Linked DNA regions of Danio rerio. The protein of the gene in region 1 binds, or shares a complex with, the protein of each later gene. Links are inferred from orthologs where the notes say so. Each region holds a gene or a part of one and is shown on either strand. Other genes may lie near its edges.

Evidence for each region.
Region 2: the proteins of per2 (region 1) and cry2 are in contact, whole or in part, in a crystal structure (PDB 4U8H), measured with the Mus musculus proteins. The link is inferred for Danio rerio from reciprocal best matches to the Homo sapiens genes PER2 and CRY2. Residues at the interface, in NP_035196.2 of Mus musculus: Tyr1132, Leu1134, Gln1135, Asp1136, Pro1137, Trp1139, Leu1140, Met1142, Ala1143, Asn1144, Thr1145, Ile1149, Met1150, Met1151, Thr1152, Tyr1153, Gln1154, Leu1155, Arg1158, Asp1159, Leu1160, Val1163, Leu1164, Asp1167, Gln1168, Lys1170, Leu1171, Leu1174, Gln1175, Ser1177; in NP_034093.1 of Mus musculus: Trp58, Ser63, Ser64, Val65, Lys163, Leu166, Thr167, Lys169, Arg170, Glu215, Leu216, Gly217, Phe218, Asn330, Pro331, Ile332, Cys333, Ile334, Gln335, Ile336, Pro337, Asp339, Asn341, Pro342, Glu343, Leu345, Ala346, Lys347, Ala349, Glu350.

What each region holds. Positions count from the first base shown.
Region 1 is NC_133177.1:51,605,022-51,614,807, forward strand, and holds part of per2 (period circadian protein homolog 2), read right to left. Parts: intron 7,053-9,786; coding exon 6,974-7,052; intron 6,777-6,973; coding exon 6,670-6,776; intron 5,087-6,669; coding exon 4,936-5,086; intron 4,059-4,935; coding exon 3,950-4,058; intron 3,841-3,949; coding exon 3,700-3,840; intron 2,886-3,699; coding exon 2,810-2,885; intron 1,470-2,809; coding exon 1,304-1,469; intron 193-1,303; coding exon 65-192; intron 1-64. UniProt on the Homo sapiens protein: Transcriptional repressor which forms a core component of the circadian clock.
Region 2 is NC_133200.1:14,798,992-14,809,541, reverse strand, and holds the start of cry2 (cryptochrome-2), read left to right. Parts: upstream 1-5,126; 5' UTR 5,127-5,230; coding exon 5,231-5,388; intron 5,389-7,099; coding exon 7,100-7,208; intron 7,209-10,550. UniProt on the Homo sapiens protein: Transcriptional repressor which forms a core component of the circadian clock.

The DNA.
Region 1 (9,786 bases):
CTATGAAAAAGAAAACCTTTATATATGTAAACACAAACACATGCAAAGTGGATGTTTGCAGTACCTTCAGAGACTTGCATGGAGCTGTCAGCGTTCCTCTGCTTGTCCTCGTCTGAGTTTGAGGACGTGGTGTTGGAGGAGGATTGGCACTTTCTCTTCACTGTAATGGGCACGTTACAGCTCTCCAGATAGCTGATCAAGAGACACACACATCAGGTTAGCAAACGACTGAAGCAGGAGAAAATGTAAACTAAAAGCATCTTTGATCTGGTTAGTTTCAGCTTTATGACTTTGTTTTGTACCATTAAGACCCTATAATCATTATTTCCCGTGGTTTACGTGCACAACACACGTGCGCTAACTCTGTAGTTTTAACTCTTTGAAACCCAAGAGAAACACAATAAAAATATCAGTGTGTTCGCAGCAAAAATGTGTCATCTTCGTGAATTTAAAATATTTAAAAACGATATATACAGTCATTCACTCATTTTCCTTCGGCTTAGTCTCTGATTTATCAGGGGTCACTACAGTGGAACAAGCCGCCAACTACTCTGGCATGTTTTGCGCAGTGGATATTATATATATATATATATATATATATATATATATATATATATATATATATATATATATATATATATATATGTTATACAGTTAAAGTCCAAATTATTAGCCTTCTTGTAAACATTTATTTCCTTCATAAAAGTGTTGCTTAATGTTTTTTAATTTTAAATGAAATAGTTTTAATTATTTTGTAATAACTAAATGTTTTATTAAACAGAATTTTAAAGACTCTAAAGAATAAAAATTTTAGAGGAAGGCTAATAATTTTAACTTAAACTTTAAATATATATAGACACACACACACACACAAAACATAGCCATATCCAGGGTAAAGTGGATTAAAAAATAGTTCACTATAAAACAAAAATTTTGTCATAATTTACTCAGCAATTCTTCTCTTGTGTTCAACAGAATAAAGAAACTCAAAGGTTTAAAACCCCTCGAGGGCGGGTAAACTGATAATAAATGGTTCTTTCTGGGTGATCCATCTCTTTAAACCTGAGCAGGTCTCAATGCTGCGTCATTTTCCATGGCTTTAGGCTAGACATCCAGAAGTGTAATTCCAGCTCCTGCTAAATCTAATGTTCTCTGCTGAATCATTGTTCCTCCTGGCACACTTCATTCAGTCGCTTAGCATAACACGGTCGATAAGTGCATTACATTAGTCTGCAAGCGGAGACAGTCTCCAGCAGTTTCCGTTGTGACGTGACTGTGTGTGTGTGTGTGTGTGTGTTTGTACCGGATGACGCTGTCCAGGCAGCTGATCTGCTGATAGGAGTAGACGGTCTGGTCTTTGAAGGCCAGCTCCTCCTGCACCGCCGCTCGCTGCTCCTCCTGAGACTCTCTCCAGTTCACTGGATATGCAGAGTCTTTCGGTCGAACCACTGGACTTTTCTGAACAAACTCTGCAGGGGAGGAAGAAACAGGCTTGAGAAGGCTACACAATTACTCAAAATAAATTCTAAACTTCTGTAAAAACTGCGTTCTGTATTTTGTGATTCAAAGGACTTTTTTGTGTTTATTTACAGTTATGAATTGCATAATTTGACTTCACTTGTGATCTGTAGAGTTCTGTTGATGAAATTTCAACTCTTCAGTACAACCAAGTGCCTTTTAATGACAGTTTAGTGGTTTGAAACAATATATTGCATGAGAAAAAATAATATAGAAAGAATCAAGTCTGTTAAATAACAGAAAATGTGCTAACTTACTGGAAGTTTTTTTACAGGATGTCCCATAAAGAAGAATTTAATAAAATATTAAAAAAATAAAAATAAAATGAAAAAATGACGGTAAATGTTTTTGTTATTTTTGAACAAATTATTGAAATCTTACAGAATAAAACTATTCATTTATTACCATATATAACTAAAATCATGATGAAAATGACCTCTTAAAGGGATAATGCACCCAAAAATGAATATTCTGTTACATTTGCTCACCCTTTACATGTTTCAAACCTTCATGAGTTTCTTTCTTCTGATGAACACAAGAGAAGATATTTTGAAGAATGTTGGAAACCTGTAACTATCTGCTTTTCCTACTATGGATACCAATTTTAGCTTTCTTCAAAACAGCTTCTTTAGAGTTCAACAGAAGAAAGAAACAATAAACTCTGTAACCACTTGAGGACCAATAAATAGTGAGTAAATTTAATTTTGGGTGAACTATCCCTTTAATGTCCCTCGAACAGTAATGCATACAAACTAATTATACATTGAATCTTTTATTCTGTTCAGTTCGACTCTGTTCTGTTCCATTCTATTCCATTCCATTCTATTCTATTGTGATCTATTCAGTACCACTCCCATCTGTTCTATTCTATCCTATTCCATTCTATACTATTCTATTTTACTCTAGTCTGTTGTGTTCTATTCAGTTCAATTCTTATCTATTCCATTCTACTCTGTTCTATTCCATTCTAACTTATTCTTTTCTATTCCATTTTATTGTATTCCATTCTTTTCCATTATACTCTGTCATTGTATTGTAATGTATTGTATCGTATTCTATTCTATTATATTCTATTCTATTCTTTTCTTTTCTATTCTCCTTTGTTCCTCTATCCCATCTGCTGAGGTTTCAATATCACAGTTGAATTTACAATCCAATTTTTGTTCATGTAAACTAATAGTGATTATTTGATACCAAATCTTGGAAATATTTGAGCACAGATTGCATAAAAAAAACCACAGACTTTGATGACAGACGAGGTGCACAGATGGTAGCGGATATGGGTACATACTAGTAGGGCTTTTCTTGGACTGCAGCTCCTGGTTTTTCTGCATGTGAACGCCTTTGCAGATCTCCTGAAAGCTCCTCTGAGAAATCACACACACAAAAAGACTAATCAATCCACCAGACTTGCTTTAAAAAAGATAAGTATTAAGACTTGAGTAGCTAAATATAACAAAAATGATGTATCATATTGATATGAGTAGTGGAAACCCCATGAAAGACTTGTGGTATTTAAAAAACAAACATTAATTTCGGACAACGGCTGCACTTGATGGGCTAAATGTGAAATCCAGGGGCGCTTAGACTACTTGTTGTATAAAAATAAATGTATTTAACTGTCCGCTTACACTGAATCAATGACCACTTATCAGCATATCAACTCTTTCAGTAACTGTAGTTATCTAAAAGCCTTTAAAAGAAAAGACTTCACAAAAATCTCCTACCAAAATGAAGCCATTTGTCACTTTTATTTAAACAAAGTGTTACTGTGTGCTTAATCTAAGTTCTTGCAATGCTACATTTAAAATCAGATCTTAAACATGGCAATTTTATAATAGTGCAGCAGTTCACTGGAAGCGCTTGGGCTGGCTGGCTGAAATCTAAAAGTCTGTGTGCGTATACAACATCGTTTTTGCTAATTTAAGTGGATTAAACATAAAATCAATTAAAATGTCCCCAAAGAAACTTAATAATTGTGTTGATTTAGCTCATTTTAAATAAATAGTTTGAACAAACAGCAAAAAACATTCTTTCTAGTGTAGTTTGACAGGAGCTTTAACTACTTTTCCTACAGAGTAGCTTGTAACACAATGTATTATGATGGAAAGTTCTCAAGGCATGAATAAAAGTGACACATTTGACTTGTAAAAAATGGCTAGAATTGATGATGTGACTCACCGGTTTGGCTTTCCTGATGTCCTCTTCTTCATGTCTCTGTCGTGTCCCGTTACCATTGCTTTCACTGGATGACGCCACACTCAGCAGGTGATCATTACTGCCCAGACTGCCATAGCCACTTGAACCATTATTGTGCACCGGCTGCAAATCACACACGTATTTTTTAACCAATGCTTTTGATGTCTCTCATGGTCAGTCTATATTTAGAAGCATTAATGTGGATCTTTCTACTGTGAATGAGTTTGGGCACCTGCAGCAGGAGTCTGTGAATCTGCTCGGTGATGTCCTGGATGTCAGAATCCACGCATTTGCCTTCAGCAGTAGCCGGAGCTGCAAACACGTCTTCATTCACCGGACCCCTGGAAGAATGGACAAAATTTCAAAAAGGTGCACATTTAAAAAAAAAAAAAAAATCTAATATAAATGTAAGCAACACCAAAAGTTTGAAAATGTATTCATAAAAAATGAATTTAAAAATAAAAATGTCAAAATGAGTTAACAGTCATTAAAAAGTTAAGATAGCTGTGACTTTTTTGTAGCATAAAATGTGTCAAATCAGTGCAAAGTTAAAGTTCTTGCTAACGAATGCATGAGGCGTCCAAATTAATCAGACATTTGCAGACGACTTATCCCCAATACCACGACAAGGACTTTTTGAGCGCAAGGCAAAAGAATTGACATCCACCCAAAATGAGATGAGGGACATCATAGCTACTGAAAAGAAAATTTGTCAACTGATTTGCAACTAATATATGGCCAATTTAAAGGCCAAAGGATCATGTTTTTTTTATTTACAGATGGCTTACGGATGTTTTGCTTTTATATTTTACATTTTACACAGACTATTTGTGCATGAACATTTCTAGATATAATAATAAACTTACCGTTTGTTTGAAATTTTTTTTTTTTGTCATTCTTACTGCAAAGTATTATGAGCAATATTATCAATAAATGTTGAGGGGGGGCTTACAATATTTTCCAGCGGAAAAGGGGGTCTTGGGAACCATTGTTTTTAAGGTTTAGTGTTGGTGTGATTTTTTTATATGTAAAAAAAAATGCACAACTAAAAAAAAACAAGCAACGTAAATGTATACAACACCAAAGCTCCAAAAGTATGAACATTAAAAGCTATAACATAGTGTCAAAATGACCATAATGCAATAATGTGTGCTTGTTGAAGCTGCTTTTGGAACAGTAACCATAGTGAAAAGCGCTACACAGCTGAATGTAACTTACATGCGAACTTTATGTCTGCCGATGACGAAGGAAACTTTGCGGCTCCAGGGATTGACGAAGCTGGACCAGCTGGTGTCGATGGTGATGTACTCTCCGTTACGAGCACAAAAGCGGATCGAATGGTCAAAAGGCTGACCGGCGCACTGCAGGACTGAGGAGACACAAACATTTCATTCTCAAACAGGATACTTAAACTCCTTTCACTATAAACTAAAAGATTCACCATTACTTTAATATAGCCTTTTGAGAGAGAGTTTCGAATGTATTGTCATATCAGCATCTCTGGATATTTCATGCAAAACCAGATCAGATTTACATTATCACACATATAAATGTCTCTTTTCTATAGTAATGATATCAACAGCAATAAATAACACACAAAATAAAAATCTAAAACACTTCTTTAAGGTTTACTTTTGATAAAAATTGTACCATTTTAGAAGGATTCACATTGAAAAATATTTCCTTTAAAGTCTCTCTAGATAAAAATCATTATAATATATATTATATACATTAATAATATTCTATACCATGTTAATGCTATCTCAGATAACATTAAAAATTCCAAAAGTATATGTTTAGTATACCCCTACAGATCTCTCTTTTAAATGAATATTTTCTACAGGATGCTATAAAGTAAGATGTTTGTGTATACATTAGATTAGCTGCAGTTTTGGATTTGGTATTGATTTTCATGCAGTGCTGAAAAGGTTCTTAAGTTAGAAGCATTAAAAATGTAATTATAAAAAATAAACAAATAAACACATTTAAATAAAAAAATTAAACGATTTAAACTGAAACATAATTATAAAAATGATAAAAAAATAAACAAATTAAACAATTTAAACAAATCTAATTATTTAAAATATTTTTAAAAAACGATAAAAAAATTATTATTTAAATTTAGTAGCATTGAATTAAAGAAGCATAAAAATGTAATTATAAAAAAATAATAAAAATATTTTATTATTAATTTAATTTAGTAGCATTTAATTAGAGACAAATTTAATTAAATACAAATTTAATTATTAAAAATGATAAAAATAAAAGTTATACAAATTAATTATTTTATATAGTAGCAATTAATTTGAGAGTAGCTTCAAAACTGTTATTACGAATTAATTTAAAGATATATTTTATTATTATTTATATTTAGTAGCATTTAATTAGAAAAGCATAAAAATGTAATAATTAAACATAAAAAAATAAACAAATAAATTATTATTTTCATTTAGTAGCATTTAAAGAAGCATTTAGAGATGCATCAAACATGTTATTAGTAAAAATGCTAAGAAATATATATAAATTCGTTATTATTTTAATTTAGTAGCATTTCAATAGAGGAGCATAAAAAGTTTAATAATTAAAAAAAATTTATTATAAATTACTTCAAAGTCTATCTGTTATTGCAAAATCTCTCAATCATTCCTATTTGACAACTTTTAACCCATTTTGATGTTGGGATGCAGGTTGAGTATGAAGTATGTAGTACACTTAAGTTTTTCAGTGGTTATTAGTGCAGCTTATGTTTATTAGATTGGTTTTTGTGGAACAGATTTTTAAATGTTTTATTTCATATATTTATTTTTATTTAGCTTTTTTGGGGGTATTTTGTACTGAAATATAGCTGCAATTTCTGCAATAACTCAATCATGGTATTGTTATGCAGGAAATAATTAAACTTTAAACCTTAACTATATTTTATTGTGAAGAAAATCAGTGAAATAAACTCACTCTTCCTGTGGATGCCGAGCATGGTTGGCCGATCATTCGGATGCAGATGGAGAAGGACAGGTGTGCCGATTAAATCCTGTGGTAAATATCCTAGTAACGGAACAGCCCTACAGAGGAAAAAACCCTTCTGATTAGACTGGAATGGGAACAACAACTGTTATTACCTTTAATATGCATCAATATGAGAAATGGAAAAAAGCAGGTGTGGAGGCAGAGCGATGTGGTGTGAAACACTCATTTAATGTTTAAACAAGCAGCTGATCTTCATTATTAATGTTCATCAACAGAAGCATTAAAATCTTACCGCTCATCCACATCCTGAAACACACAGCTGGGAGTGTGTGTGGTGGTGAAGATTCGCTTGTCTGTGGGGATTCTGGGAGCTGAGGAATTAACAGAAAAAGATTTTAATATTACAACATTTTAGTATTTGAAACTGCTTAAAAATAATCATTTGTCAGTTTCTTTATTTGCCATCATGTTTGTTAACAAAAATAGCAGGCATGATTGCGTCTATTTGCACAGTGTTTGATTATATATATCAGATGTTTTGGGTCTGTAGCATTTATGATTGCTTGCTTTTTTTTTTTAAAATAACACTTTTATTCATCAATGATGTATTCACTTATTTTTTTTAAAACGAGTGCATGAAGATTCATCAAGATATATACGATTTCTAGTTCAAACAAATGCTGTTTTTTTCAATCTAACAGTTAGGCCCAATCCCAATTCTACCCTTTAGCCCTTCCCCTCAATTTGCGCGTGCCCGTGAAGGGGTAGTGGTGTCCCAATTCTCTTTAGTTTGAAGGCGTAGGGCTAAGGGCAAGAGGTATACACCCCTTCAAACGAAGATCTTTCAGGACCACACTCGAAACCAAGGGGTAGGGAAAATTTCCCAGAATACACTAGCTCCAGCTGCACCCAGAAGTAAGGAGATTATTTTTGTCATTATTACGATTTTTTTACAACAAACAAACACGTTTTAATATATTCATAACCGCTTTTGTGTTTTACCGTCATGCTTTTAAAAAATTTAGCTAAAATAAAAACAGCTAAATTTCGCAATCTATTCCCGTTCTAAAACCCCCGATAATAACTTCTGTACAGAAGTCCCACAACATTCTGACACTCGATGACACTGGAATACCCTGTCAGAAAAGTCTAGTGGCTGGGACTGGACATTTTACAGTGTCTGTTATAATGTTCATGCTGTTTCTGGTGTGTTTACATTAATAAATATGGCCACTGTAAATGCACAGTACAGTTACGATCTTATTGCCACATTAGATTGTTATGATAACATAATACATGCCTTCAGTAATTTCCTGAAGATAAATACCCCAAAATAACACAACTGGAATCACTACAGTAGTCGCCATCATCTGAACTCATATGAAGCAAGAGATCGCGAGGACATATGATGACGTGTGCAGGTGCTGTAATCCTGTCCCAATTCTTAGGGGTAAATTTTGAAGCCCTTCCCCTTAACCCTCGGTTGCAAGGGCTGAGGGGAAGGGGTAGGGGTAGAAAAATAGAATTGGGACTGGGCCTTAATTTCGGTTTCACAAAAACATAAAACATCACTTGTTTCATATTGATAATAATTAATAACAATGAATGTTTTTAGAGCGGCAAGTTGACGTTTATTTTACAGTATTACTTTGCTTACTGTATATTATATTACCCATAGTTTTCTATAACTGCACTTTATAACTTATATCTATATCCTGCACTTGCTGCTATTGCACTCCTTGTTAGACCTAAACTGAATTTCGTTGCTTTGTTTTTGAACATGTGTAATGAAAACAAAGTTGAATCTACTCTAATCTATTTGTGACTGAATTGTCTAAAGCATTTTGTAAATGTTTTGTAGTTTGCATTTTTTTGACAGCACCAATCATAACATGTACAATAAATACAACTGAGAAACAAAACAAAAAAATGAAAACATTTGGTCACACTGGACTTTGAGGGTGCATTTGTTGAATTTAAGGCCCCGTTTACACTAGTGCGTTTAGTTTTAAAACTGCGTTTTAGTTCAAAAACGATCCGCGTCCACACTAGTGTTTCACCTAGCGTTTCTGAACATATCTGCATCCACACTACGCCACCAAAAACGTATATCACGTGACCATTCGCTCACTCTGGGCATGCACATTCTAGTATAAACAGGAAGCATGTGTCTCGTTCTGCATTTGGTTATTGTAAGTCAACAAACTCCGGTTGAATAATGAACGCGATGGCAAAGAAAGCAAGAGAGGTATTTCTGTGGACAGACGACGAGGTTGAGTTGTTACTGAAAGTAACAATTGAATAACTGCACAATGGCGCCTAAAACTGACAATAGTGCAAACAACGCTCCCATTTCTGTGTCCATGTTGTTGTTTACAGTAAAGGCTGTTTTGCTGTCTTCCGGTAGCGTTAAAGCCATGTGTTATAGTCATGTGATAGGGGCTTGACGAATAAGGGAAGGATACGCAATGACACAAAGCCCCAATCAGGTAGCGAATCTCAGCAGCCCCGCCTCCGTTTTCAGATGTCTCCGTTTTCCCCCATCCACACTGAGACAGAGCAGCAGCGTTTCACAATGAAAACGGCCTCTCCAGCGTTTCCAAAACGCTCCGTTTTCGGCGCTCGAAAACTGCGGTGTAGTGTGAATGGATGGCGTAACCGTAGCAAAACTTATGCATTTTCAAACTAAAACGCATTAATGTAAACGGGGTTAAGTTACATTGCATCTACATGCCAACTAATTCTCATAAGATTATAAGTAGACTGTTAGGTTGGGGCAGGGGTGTCCAATCTCGGTCCTAGAGGGCCGATGTCCAGCATATGTTAGTTCCAACCCAAATTAAACACACCTGAACCAGCTAATCAAGCTATCAAGAAACTTCCAGGGAGTTGTGTTAAAGGAAGTTGGAGCTAAACTATGCAGGACACCGGCACTCCGGGATCGAGTTTAGACACCCCTGGGTTAGGGTTAGTGTAAGTTGACATGTACTTGCAAAGTTTCTTATAGTCAGTTAAATGTCTGTTGAGGGAGCAGTATCAACAGATATTAAGCAGACAGTTTAATAATACTCAAAATAAAGTGTTTCCAAACATTTATTTGGCTAC
Region 2 (10,550 bases), on another chromosome or scaffold:
AGAGATAGCAGCTAGCTCCATACTCTCCAGATGGAGAAAGACATTATGGTGTGTTTGTGCTCACAAAAAGCATTTACCTGGAGGAATCGACTAAGGGTGAGTAAGTGCCTCATCCTTAGTTAAAATAAAAACCTTCCTGGCCACAGAAGTCTCTCAGCGCAGTCTCTGGGTCAGCTGATGTCCACTTTAGTGGTCCAGGAGCACCACCTATGGCTTAACCTCACAGGGATGCAAGACGTCAGTTCAGTGACTCTGTCAAGGATTCTGTGCTGCAATTTTCAACCTTAAAAAAGCAGACGGACGCCATTAAACATGTCTTGTTTCGATGTGGGTCAGTTGCTATCCCTGCGCCCCCGAGACTCTAGCCTTCACCTGCTCCTCGTTCAAATTTCCATTAGACAGATGGCTCTCAATTGGTCACCAAAAGAGCAATTTCCTCTATCACTGTGTCTCTCTCACACACTCATGTGCTCACACACATATTGGCTCTTGTCATCCCGACAGCCAAGCATTGGAAATCAGTAACAGGATCTGACCAGGCACAAATACAATAGGGACTTTTGCACCTGAGGAACTTTTCACAGCTCCTACAACTATTAGTAGAAGTACATGTTTTTTTTTGTTTTTTTTTACATATTTAAACTAGAAATAGGAGAAACAAGCCTAAGATCCAAGTTTCGAAACAACACAAGCAATTGCTTTGCAAGATTCACTGTTTCGAATAATTTGCATCAGCACGTGCTAGGGACACCTGTTGGTCAAAACTGTGTGAATGCAGCAAAAACATGCATTAGAACTGTATTTCTTGTGACTTTTTCAAACATGTTGTAAACTTTAAGTTGAAAGTCTAACCTGGAAATGAACTTATCTTATCTAATATCATTAAATATTTTGTGTCTGCATAATATGCATTCTTTTAATACATTTTCAAGGCGTATGGGTTGTTCATTCCATGTTGGGCTCTGCTAAACAGGCTAGGAAGAAACTGTTAACAATTTCTTTTTACATATGTCGCATTAAATTGTTCTGCTGAACACAAAAGAAAATATAAAAAAAACGGCAACCATTATGCACATGAAAAACAAATACTATGGAAGTCAAAGCTTAAAGGTTTTTACAGGCCAATAGTGAATAAATGATAACAGAATTTTTATTTTTGGGTGAACTATCCTCCAAGTCTAATAGGAGCTCTCTGTAAAACGCTCTAGTTTGTTTAAACTCACAAACTCAAGTTTACCAGCTGCCTTGAAAATGTTAGTCAGCAGCAACTCAACTTAGATTCTTTGTTTCAACTTAAGATGTTGAGTTTTAGTTAAACATATAGGGGAATTACCAACCTACGTCACACATGACGTCGCACGGGTTCAACCACACATACCGGTTGCAAAAAAAAGACCAATTGCAATAGCAAACATGTCGCGTTGTCTGGTAGGATGTCATAATCGAAAGTCCAAAAATAAAAAACATAAATTTTAAATTTAACAGCTATCATAAGAGCTGAATGGAGTGACGACCTAATTAAAAATGCTGGACTCTTCAGTTCTCAGTTTATATAAAGTAAGTTCACGCTAAACTGAATCATACTCATTACTCGTTTTGGATTGCAGCAATGATTTCAGCAAAAACAGTTAAATATGGTTAATTCAACTGTTGACACTGAATGCTTAGAATGAAATGTTAAAATGTAAGTTCACATACCCTGCTGAACAGGTGCAGTTCGCTGTCAAAATGCAGTCTTTTTGCTTGTTGATGATTACCCAGGCCTTGTACAGTTCCATCTACTTTCCTTGTCTTAGGCTCAGCAGAACCTCGTTTTTAGCACAACATGTCATGGAACATTATTTCTTGCACATGATCACACAGAACAAAATTGTTGGCATACAGACTTGTAGGCCTTTCTTCTCTCTTGTAAATCACTTGGAGTTTTAATGAGATTGTCGTATATTTCGGCCTGGATGCTTGGCCATTTCGTCTTATCTAATATCCATTAGGAGGGTGCTATCGCAAATGGACCTGTCAGACGAATGCCGATCACTTTAACGTTAATTTTGCAGAATAACTGTGCTTATCACTGGGTGCCTAGCTGCTATTATACGCTGAAAGCATTATGGAAATAATATATATATATAATATGTATTCAATATAACTTATCTCTAATACAACAACAAAATCTGTTCCGCATTGGATGTCATTCCCTCGCTGTAAATGCTAGCACTCGCGTTTTTTTTTCTGCCACCTCGATGTGCACGCATCCTGAATGTTTACAAACTGGTAATTCACCTATTGTGAAACTCAACATCTTAAATTGAAACAAAGAGTCTCTCTAAGTTGAGTAGACACATTTTCAAGGCAGCTGGTGAGCTTTTTGAGTTTGTAAGTTTAACCAATGTGAAATGTTTTACAGTGTGGGATGATAGATAATTTACAAGAATGAACTCTTTAAATCTATTTCTACAGATTACAAGTACTGTTATTCTTTTATCCTCTCTTCTTTTATATTTTTCTTCCATATGCTGAAATGATTTAGATTTTAGAAGTCAAGAATTGTGCATTTTTAGTGCTATCTAGAGCAGAGATGCCCAAAGTAGGGTCCGCGGGCCAAAGTTGGCCAATGCTAACCTTTGATTTGGCCCACCATCCCATTTGAGAAGATAGTGAGAATGATGAGGCAAAAACAGGACAGAGGTCATTCATTTCAATTCAATGTAACCTTTTGTTTTTGTTTGTTTTGTCCTTTCCTTTGTTTTGTAAATGAATCAAATTTTTAAAAATGTAAATGCTGTCACTCGACAAATAGAGGACAATGGCATGTGCAGTTTAGTGTATCCAGCATTGAACTCAATGGTGTTATTAATGGGATTGTTGATGCTTTCACTGTAATGAATTCATTTCAGATTCAGACATTTTTATAGACTGCATTAGTTAATATAACTTATCTTTAAATATTAGGAAAGAAATTAGGAAATTACTCAATACAGTTTGATTTACCTTCTGCCCACAGCCGACTTTTCTCATAAGAAAAAGTTTGGGCACCCCTGATCTAGAGGCACAAGTCTACTTTCTGTTCTAGAAATCAGTAGACAAAAGAGGATGGTCAGTGAAGAGCTGAAATATGTAAATGAATATGGTTCAATAATAATTTGGTTTCGTAATTAAAATTGCTCGGCTCAGTTGGCGTTTCTGTGTGGAGTTTGCATGTTCTCCCTGAGTTTGTGTGGGTTTCTTCCGGGTGCTCCGGTTTCCCCCCACAGTCCAAAGACATGCGATACAGATGAATTGATTAGGTTAATTTGTCCGTAGTGTATGAGTGTGTGTGTGGATGTTTCCAGAGATGGGTTGCGGCTGGAAGGGCATCTGCTGCCTAAAAACTTTCTTGGATAAGTTGGCGGTTCATTCCGCTGTGGCAACCCCGCATTAATAAAGGGACTAAGCCGACAAGAAAATGAATGAATGAATGAATTAAAATTGCTCTAGGATGTATTGCTTCATCATTATGTTATGCACAAGGAGTTCATACAGATGAGGTAAATTAAGAAGCTCTGAAAATAGAGTAAATTGTAGTTTAAAAATCAGTCTCTCTAGAGGCCAGTGCATGAACGGATTCACAACTACAGCATAAAAGTTCACTTGTTTAAGCTCACGTTTCATCTTGGTTAAAGTTACTCATTAATTGACGGAGTTGTCGTAAGAGAGAAAACATTGTGCATTAACTAATTATTATTTTTATAAAAAATAAAAGATAAGACATGCATGTTGCTAGAGTGGAGCTGCACAAACTAGGTAACATAAATAATGTATTATTATAGTATTGATTACATTATTGCACTTTTGATGCACAATTATTTATATTATAGTATTAAAAGATGCATTCATTCATTTACGTTTCGGCTTAGTCCCATTTTTAATCAGGGGTCGCCACAGCCGAATGAACCACCAACTTATCCATCATATGTTTTACGCAGCAGATGCCCTTCCAGCTGCGACCCATCACTGGGAAACACCCTTACACTCTCATTTACACACACACTACAGACAATTTAGCTCACCCAATTCACCTATAGCCATGTCTTTGAACCTGTGGGGGAAACCGGAGCACCTGGAGGAAACCCACGCAAACACAGAGAGAACATGCAAACTCCATACAGAAATGACCCAGCCGAGGCTCGAACCAGCAACCTTCTTGCCGCAAGGCGACTGTGCCACAGTGAAACCCTAGTATTAACCCTAGTATTAATAGTATTTGTGAGAATTAACTTTTTTCACCAATACATTTTATTATTTTATATGAGAAATTATTTGAAAATATATATTTCTTTGTTACAATGTTCGTGTACATCTATATTGTTATTATTTGCAAGAATTAAATTTTTTCTACCACACATTTGCTCATTATATAATATAATACTATATTATAGATTGATTTACAGACAGGCAGGCAGACAGACAGATAGATAGTATAGTAATGTACTACTGTAACAGTTATACATAAATATTATTTTTATTATTTTACTGTAAAGATTCTTTGTTTCGTTCATATTACTTTTTTAAAGAGGCTAGTCAGACAGGTTGAAACACTGACCCATGGGCATGTGAGCCAAACCTGACCTCTATTTCAGCCACAGTAACCTTAAAAGTTCATTGACCATAATCTGAACCCTTTATTTATCTGATCTCGTTAATGTGAAGAACAACCGCGAGGAGGCGCAAAAACACCACTCAACTACAACTGCGTTTGCTCAGGATCCTCTTATAAAACATGTTTGGCATCTGCAAGTGTGCATACACACACACATCAGTATGGGAGAAATACATTCCTCATTCTCCAGCTGTGGTGTGGCGTTGCTCGCTGCAGACGGTATTTTGCAAAGAGCACTTGACTCTGCGCGTGACTTGAGTGTTGTTACCAAGTTGCACGAATTGATGTCATAATTTGACGATGAACATGGCGAACAACACACCAAAGAAACGTGACGGGGCTGGACCTGCATCGTGAGCCCGAGCCAATCACAGCTCGGAGGCCCGAGTCACTCATTCCGGTAATCCGTACACGTGTCCGCCCGCTGGCCAATGAACGCGGGGAGAGGCGGAAAAAAACCATTGCGTCTGCTGTGTCTGCTCCCCATCTCAAACTCTACACTGAACCACAATGTGCGTGCAGGACGGCTGAAATCGCGAATTGTTTACTCTTCTGGATTTCCTTGGAACTTTTACGATGGAATAAAGCGCTATTATGGTGGTGAATTCGGTGCATTGGTTTCGCAAAGGGCTGCGGCTTCATGATAATCCGGCTTTGCAGGAAGCTCTAAATGGCGCGGATACTGTACGGTGTGTTTATATTTTGGACCCGTGGTTTGCAGGCTCGGCTAACGTGGGAGTCAACCGATGGAGGTGGGTTTCACTTATTTTTTGGCGTGTTGTGGTTATGTTGAAAATTAGGATATGTTGTTTTGGTGTTTTAGTGATTATTGGAAATGGTAACGTTAGCGGTTAACTGCGCAGCTCTTTTGCACAAACGCTGCTGTTTTGGCCTTATGTCTGATATGTAAGTCTGAAATGTAATTTTACCGTAATATGTTCGTGTGAATGTCGGATTTAAGTGGTAAATGACGTATTTATTATATATACATAAAAAAACTTAACACGCTTGCGTGCGGCCCTGGTTGATGTTTTGACTAAGTTAGTTTAACAAACTTTGTTACTCAACTTAAACACCAATGATTGAACTATTTAAAATGTTATTTCCTTTTTTAAACACCGATTGATAAACTAATGTTTATTTGCGTGAATTGTGTAATTCCGTGGCGGTGCCATGAGAGCAAATGGAGGCTAATGATAACAGGCTAGTCGTTTTGCTCACGCCCACTTCGGTTTTATATAACGGCTAAAATTACCAATTTCGTTACTGCGTCATTGAGTGTTTTCTCGATGAACTCTAAATCTTTATAGACTGAAACTGATGTAAAGTGTGTGTAAAATGTTGTTTTCGTATGCAAAAGCTCGAGTCACGTGACGGAGCGATTGTATTTTCACGTGTTGTGTCTTAGCAGACATGCCGAGGGAGGGATGCGGTGTTTGAATGAACAAACCAGACATAATGTATTGTGAAATCTGTCAAAACGTTGTCAAATATTTTGATTATTTTGTTTATGTGCCCATTTTTCTTATGTTGTAATAATAATAATTATTATTATAATTATTATAAACATTGTGCATGATTAATAAGACAATAACGTTACTCAATATCTAGTTTAGTTAAAATATGTTTGTTAGCTTTCGTAAGTTTATGATTCATTCCAATGTCTCGTCTTTTAAAGCCATTGAATAAGATTTGTGACTTTCTGCTGTCCTCGAAGAACGAGTTCACCCGCAAATAACATTTGCTGTATGTTTACTCATCCACAAGGCAATCAAAGATGTAGGTGACTTTCTGAAGTAAAATTGTAAAGATTTGTTTAGCTTAAGCTGTGGTCCTTCGTGATTTGTAAAATGCAAGTCAGTGGATTCTGCCACTTTGATAGTCAAAATACATACAGGCAAACTTAAAGTAATACTTGTTATACTCCTTTAAAAACATTGAGGTCTTTTGAAGTAAGAAAACAAGACGACAAATAGGTTCCCTAAAGTATCTAGGCCTTAATTTGTTTCTCTTTTACGCTTTGATAGGTGATAAGTATTATTTTTTATATTATTTCTAACCAGCTATGTTAAATAATAATCTTAATTGACCATTGTGTTTTACTAATGGCTTAAATGAGTGCAAACTATTCATTCACCCTAAAAATATTGGTCCAAAAACATCAGTTACTAATCAAAGCAATTTTTTAAAAATGTAATCAAATTAAAGCTTTTTAAGTAATATGTTAGGAGAACTTGATTATATATTTTTAAAAACGAGCCATTTGTTGATGATGAGGCCCTAAAGTACAACTATTTGTTCATTAAAATATATATATAATTTTCTGATTATGCCTGAAAAATAAAATGAACAGCATTAGTGAGAAATCATTCTTGTTTTCTCGGACTGAAAAAGACTGTAATGTCAAGGTATCTTGAAACAAAAGGTTTGGCTCAAATCATATTTTTCCATTTCTCTCCACAGATTTTTACTGGAATCTTTGGAGGATTTGGACACAAGTTTGAGAAAACTGAATTCGAGACTTTTTGTGGTGCGCGGACAGCCAACAGATGTCTTCCCTAGACTCTTCAAGGTCTGTTTTCGTCTCTGGACATTTGTCTTGTATCTTTTTGTTTCTCTTTTGGCTTTTCATTTCTAAACATTTGTGTCTAAAACTTGTAACATGGAAAACGTCCACCAGGCCTGAGGTGGACATACTGGTGCGTAATACATACCTGAGATATCAGGGCATTTGGTAACTGTTGACTGCAGTTAGTCGATTTAAAATAAGATATTTCAATATATTCACCATTAAGTTACTTATTGAACTTCATTTGTTTTAGTAGAAATTCAATAATAGTTTAAGTTTGTCATTTAGTTCTAATGTTACAATACATTGTTTTTGGCAGCAGCACTGATTTAAAAGCTTAAACTGATTGCCAAATATCAGCCGCTTGCTAATTAGTTTAGCAAACATTAGGTAGTTGCTATGACTTCATAATAAACACAGTCTAGTTAGTATGCAGGGCAGTGTGTGTTCGAATCTGGTCCAACAGCAAAGTAAAGATTTAGGCAATTGTTTCACCATAATAAGGTTTATTTTGCAGCGTTGTCTGTTTGGTATGCAACAAAATGGAAGGATGTAATGTGTCAGATGAATATCACAGCTTAACTTGCTTGTTTTGGGCTAAAACAAGACACTATTACCTCTCTTTTATTATCACAAAATACTTTATTGTTGGAAGTTTTGGAATGTTCACATAGTTTCCATTCTGTATATTCAGAACGTTTACTGTAAGTGTTCAAATTTAATGTCATGGAGAATGGTAATGAATAAACATTTTAGTCATAGAAGGGAGTAAGGCTGCACGAAATGGTAACTTTGATATTGCGATATTTAGTTTTTCTGTGATAAATATTGCAATATGAACACAGTTTCACAAGAATAGCTCTATTTGACGGTTTTCTGGGGAGTCTTAACAGTATTCAGGCACGGAAATTAAATATTTACAATGCAAATAAATATGCTTTTCTTATTTTTTGTCTTGTTTCCAATCCAAATATCAAGAAAATAAATCTTAGATCAAGTAAAATATTGTTTTAATTTTACCATCAGAAGAAATAAGTGAAAATTAAGAGTTTTGGTTTTTTTTTGCTAGTTTTACAGAAATGATCTGCCAGTGGGCTAGCGGAAAAAATCTTGTTTTCACTTTGACATGTAGATATTTGGACTAGAAACAAGACAAATTTTAAGTAAGAGATGTTTTTGCATAAATCATAAATTCCATATACATACAGTAATAAAATACAATGATGAGGCTCCTGGTCAACTATTATTCAGACTGGAGTCGCATATCTTTGTGATATGACCATTGTAATTGCGCACATTGCGATATCGATGCTGAAATTATACAATGTGCAGCCTTATAAGTGGAATAAGCTCTTTTAGTTAATATTCAGTTTTTTATATGTAAAATATTTCAATTTAATTCTAAAAACCTTTGTCTAACTAACATAATTGTCTTCACACAGAGGCTTACACACAACCACACAAATACAATAAATAAAAATAAACAAGCAAAATACATTCAGAAATGCAATATTCATTTGTTGTCAACAGCTAATTTGTTTCTAAAATTATTAATGGGGAGTCTGCGGGGTCTTAAAGTTAAAAGTTGATAAATCAATGCTGAGAAAATTAAGTCCTTTTAAAGGTATTTAAAAGTCTTAATCACATTTTACGAGATCTTAAATTTTGTTCAAGCGTTGTCCAAAGTGTTTGACTCCAATAAAAGCATAAATATATTTATTTTTCTCCTAATATTAACAATGGTGTGCTCGATCCACATAATTAGTTCTGGCCTGGGCGCGTCCGACCAAGCTCCTCCGTCCGGGTTTTGTCACGTATTTTGCGACAAATGCGGAAAGGTCATGTGATGCTCTCCACATGTAGCGAAACCATAGAGCGAAACAGACAGCAAAATGGGAAAATGTAAGTTTGCTTACCCCTGGTTGGAGAAAGATGAGCTAAAACAGTGGCTGAAACATGTCGCTGAAAACAACAGCATAATTTATTCTTTCAAGCTTTGTTTCTTCCAAACTTATCTGAGTTCTGTTGCATGGTTGTGCTTCATTGATTTATTTAACTTAATTTATTTATTGAAATTACCTTTTGGATTTCTGCATATACCCAGTATTAAAAATAATCACACAAACGACTAAAAAAAGTAATTGAAATTATTGGAGCCAATAACCCAATGGTTTAGTGCGCTGACATATAGCACCATGGTGCTCACAATGACCTGAGTGCAATTCCCAGTTTATCCTGAAAATAATTGTTAAAAGAAATGGAAATTCATGGCCGAATGGGTTTTTTTGTTGTTTTTTTTGTGTTGTACTAAATGTTTCCTATAACATTTATTATCCAGGTATGTCTGTAAAAGACAATGTCTTTTTTTAAGTGCCAAAAAACATTTCATGAACTTTCGTGATCAGCTAATGTTAAGAAATATCAATGCTGTACATTAAATATTGCTTTTACTTTAAAATATAATTAATTAGGAAGTCATTTAAAATATAAAAAAAATAATAATATCGCTGTTAAGGGCTGCACAATATTGGGAAAATCTGACATTGCGATAATTTCTGTTTAATTTCTTGTGATATGAATATAATTTCACCAGATTGTTTAAACAGCCATTTGAAAAGGTTTCATTCACTTAGATTGGGATGATCAAATCTTTTCTATGCAGTGTGTTTGCATAAATTATAATAAATTACAAGCATACTGTATGTAAATACAACAGATTAAAGATAAAAGTTAAATTAAATAAACAGTGCTTTATAGTTTCTAACGGTAGTCTAACAGTATTTGAGTACAGAAATTAAACAATCAATTGTAAAATAATATGGTCATCATTGTATAAATAATTTCAAAATAATAATATTTTATAATGCTATTATCATTTGATTTTTAATAAATTATCTAATACTGCTATGTGACTATTGAGGAGACACACATTGCAATGTCAATGCTCAAGCGAAATATTGTGCAGCCCTAATCACTGTGTATATATTAAACCAAATTCAGGAGCATGAGAATCTTTACCCATCATATATTCTATAATTTCAGCTATAAACGTCACCACATCCCATCATTTTTCATTTAGATAAAAACTTCTAGTAACTTCATTTTAAATAAGCATTTGATACCTGTAAGGCTGTTTGGTTTGCTTCAGCATCCTAAGGTAGTTTGTTATGAAAGATCTCATTTTCATGCTGCTGAAGCAGGCTTCTCTTTTTAGCATGCCAGTGTGCCAGTCAGACATTGGCAAGTGAGCTGAACGATCCCTTTGGCAGGTGGTTAATGGTGCTGTTTATGCATGAGGGTGAAAGCACCAGCACATGAACCCTTTATAGTGTGCTTGTGTAACCA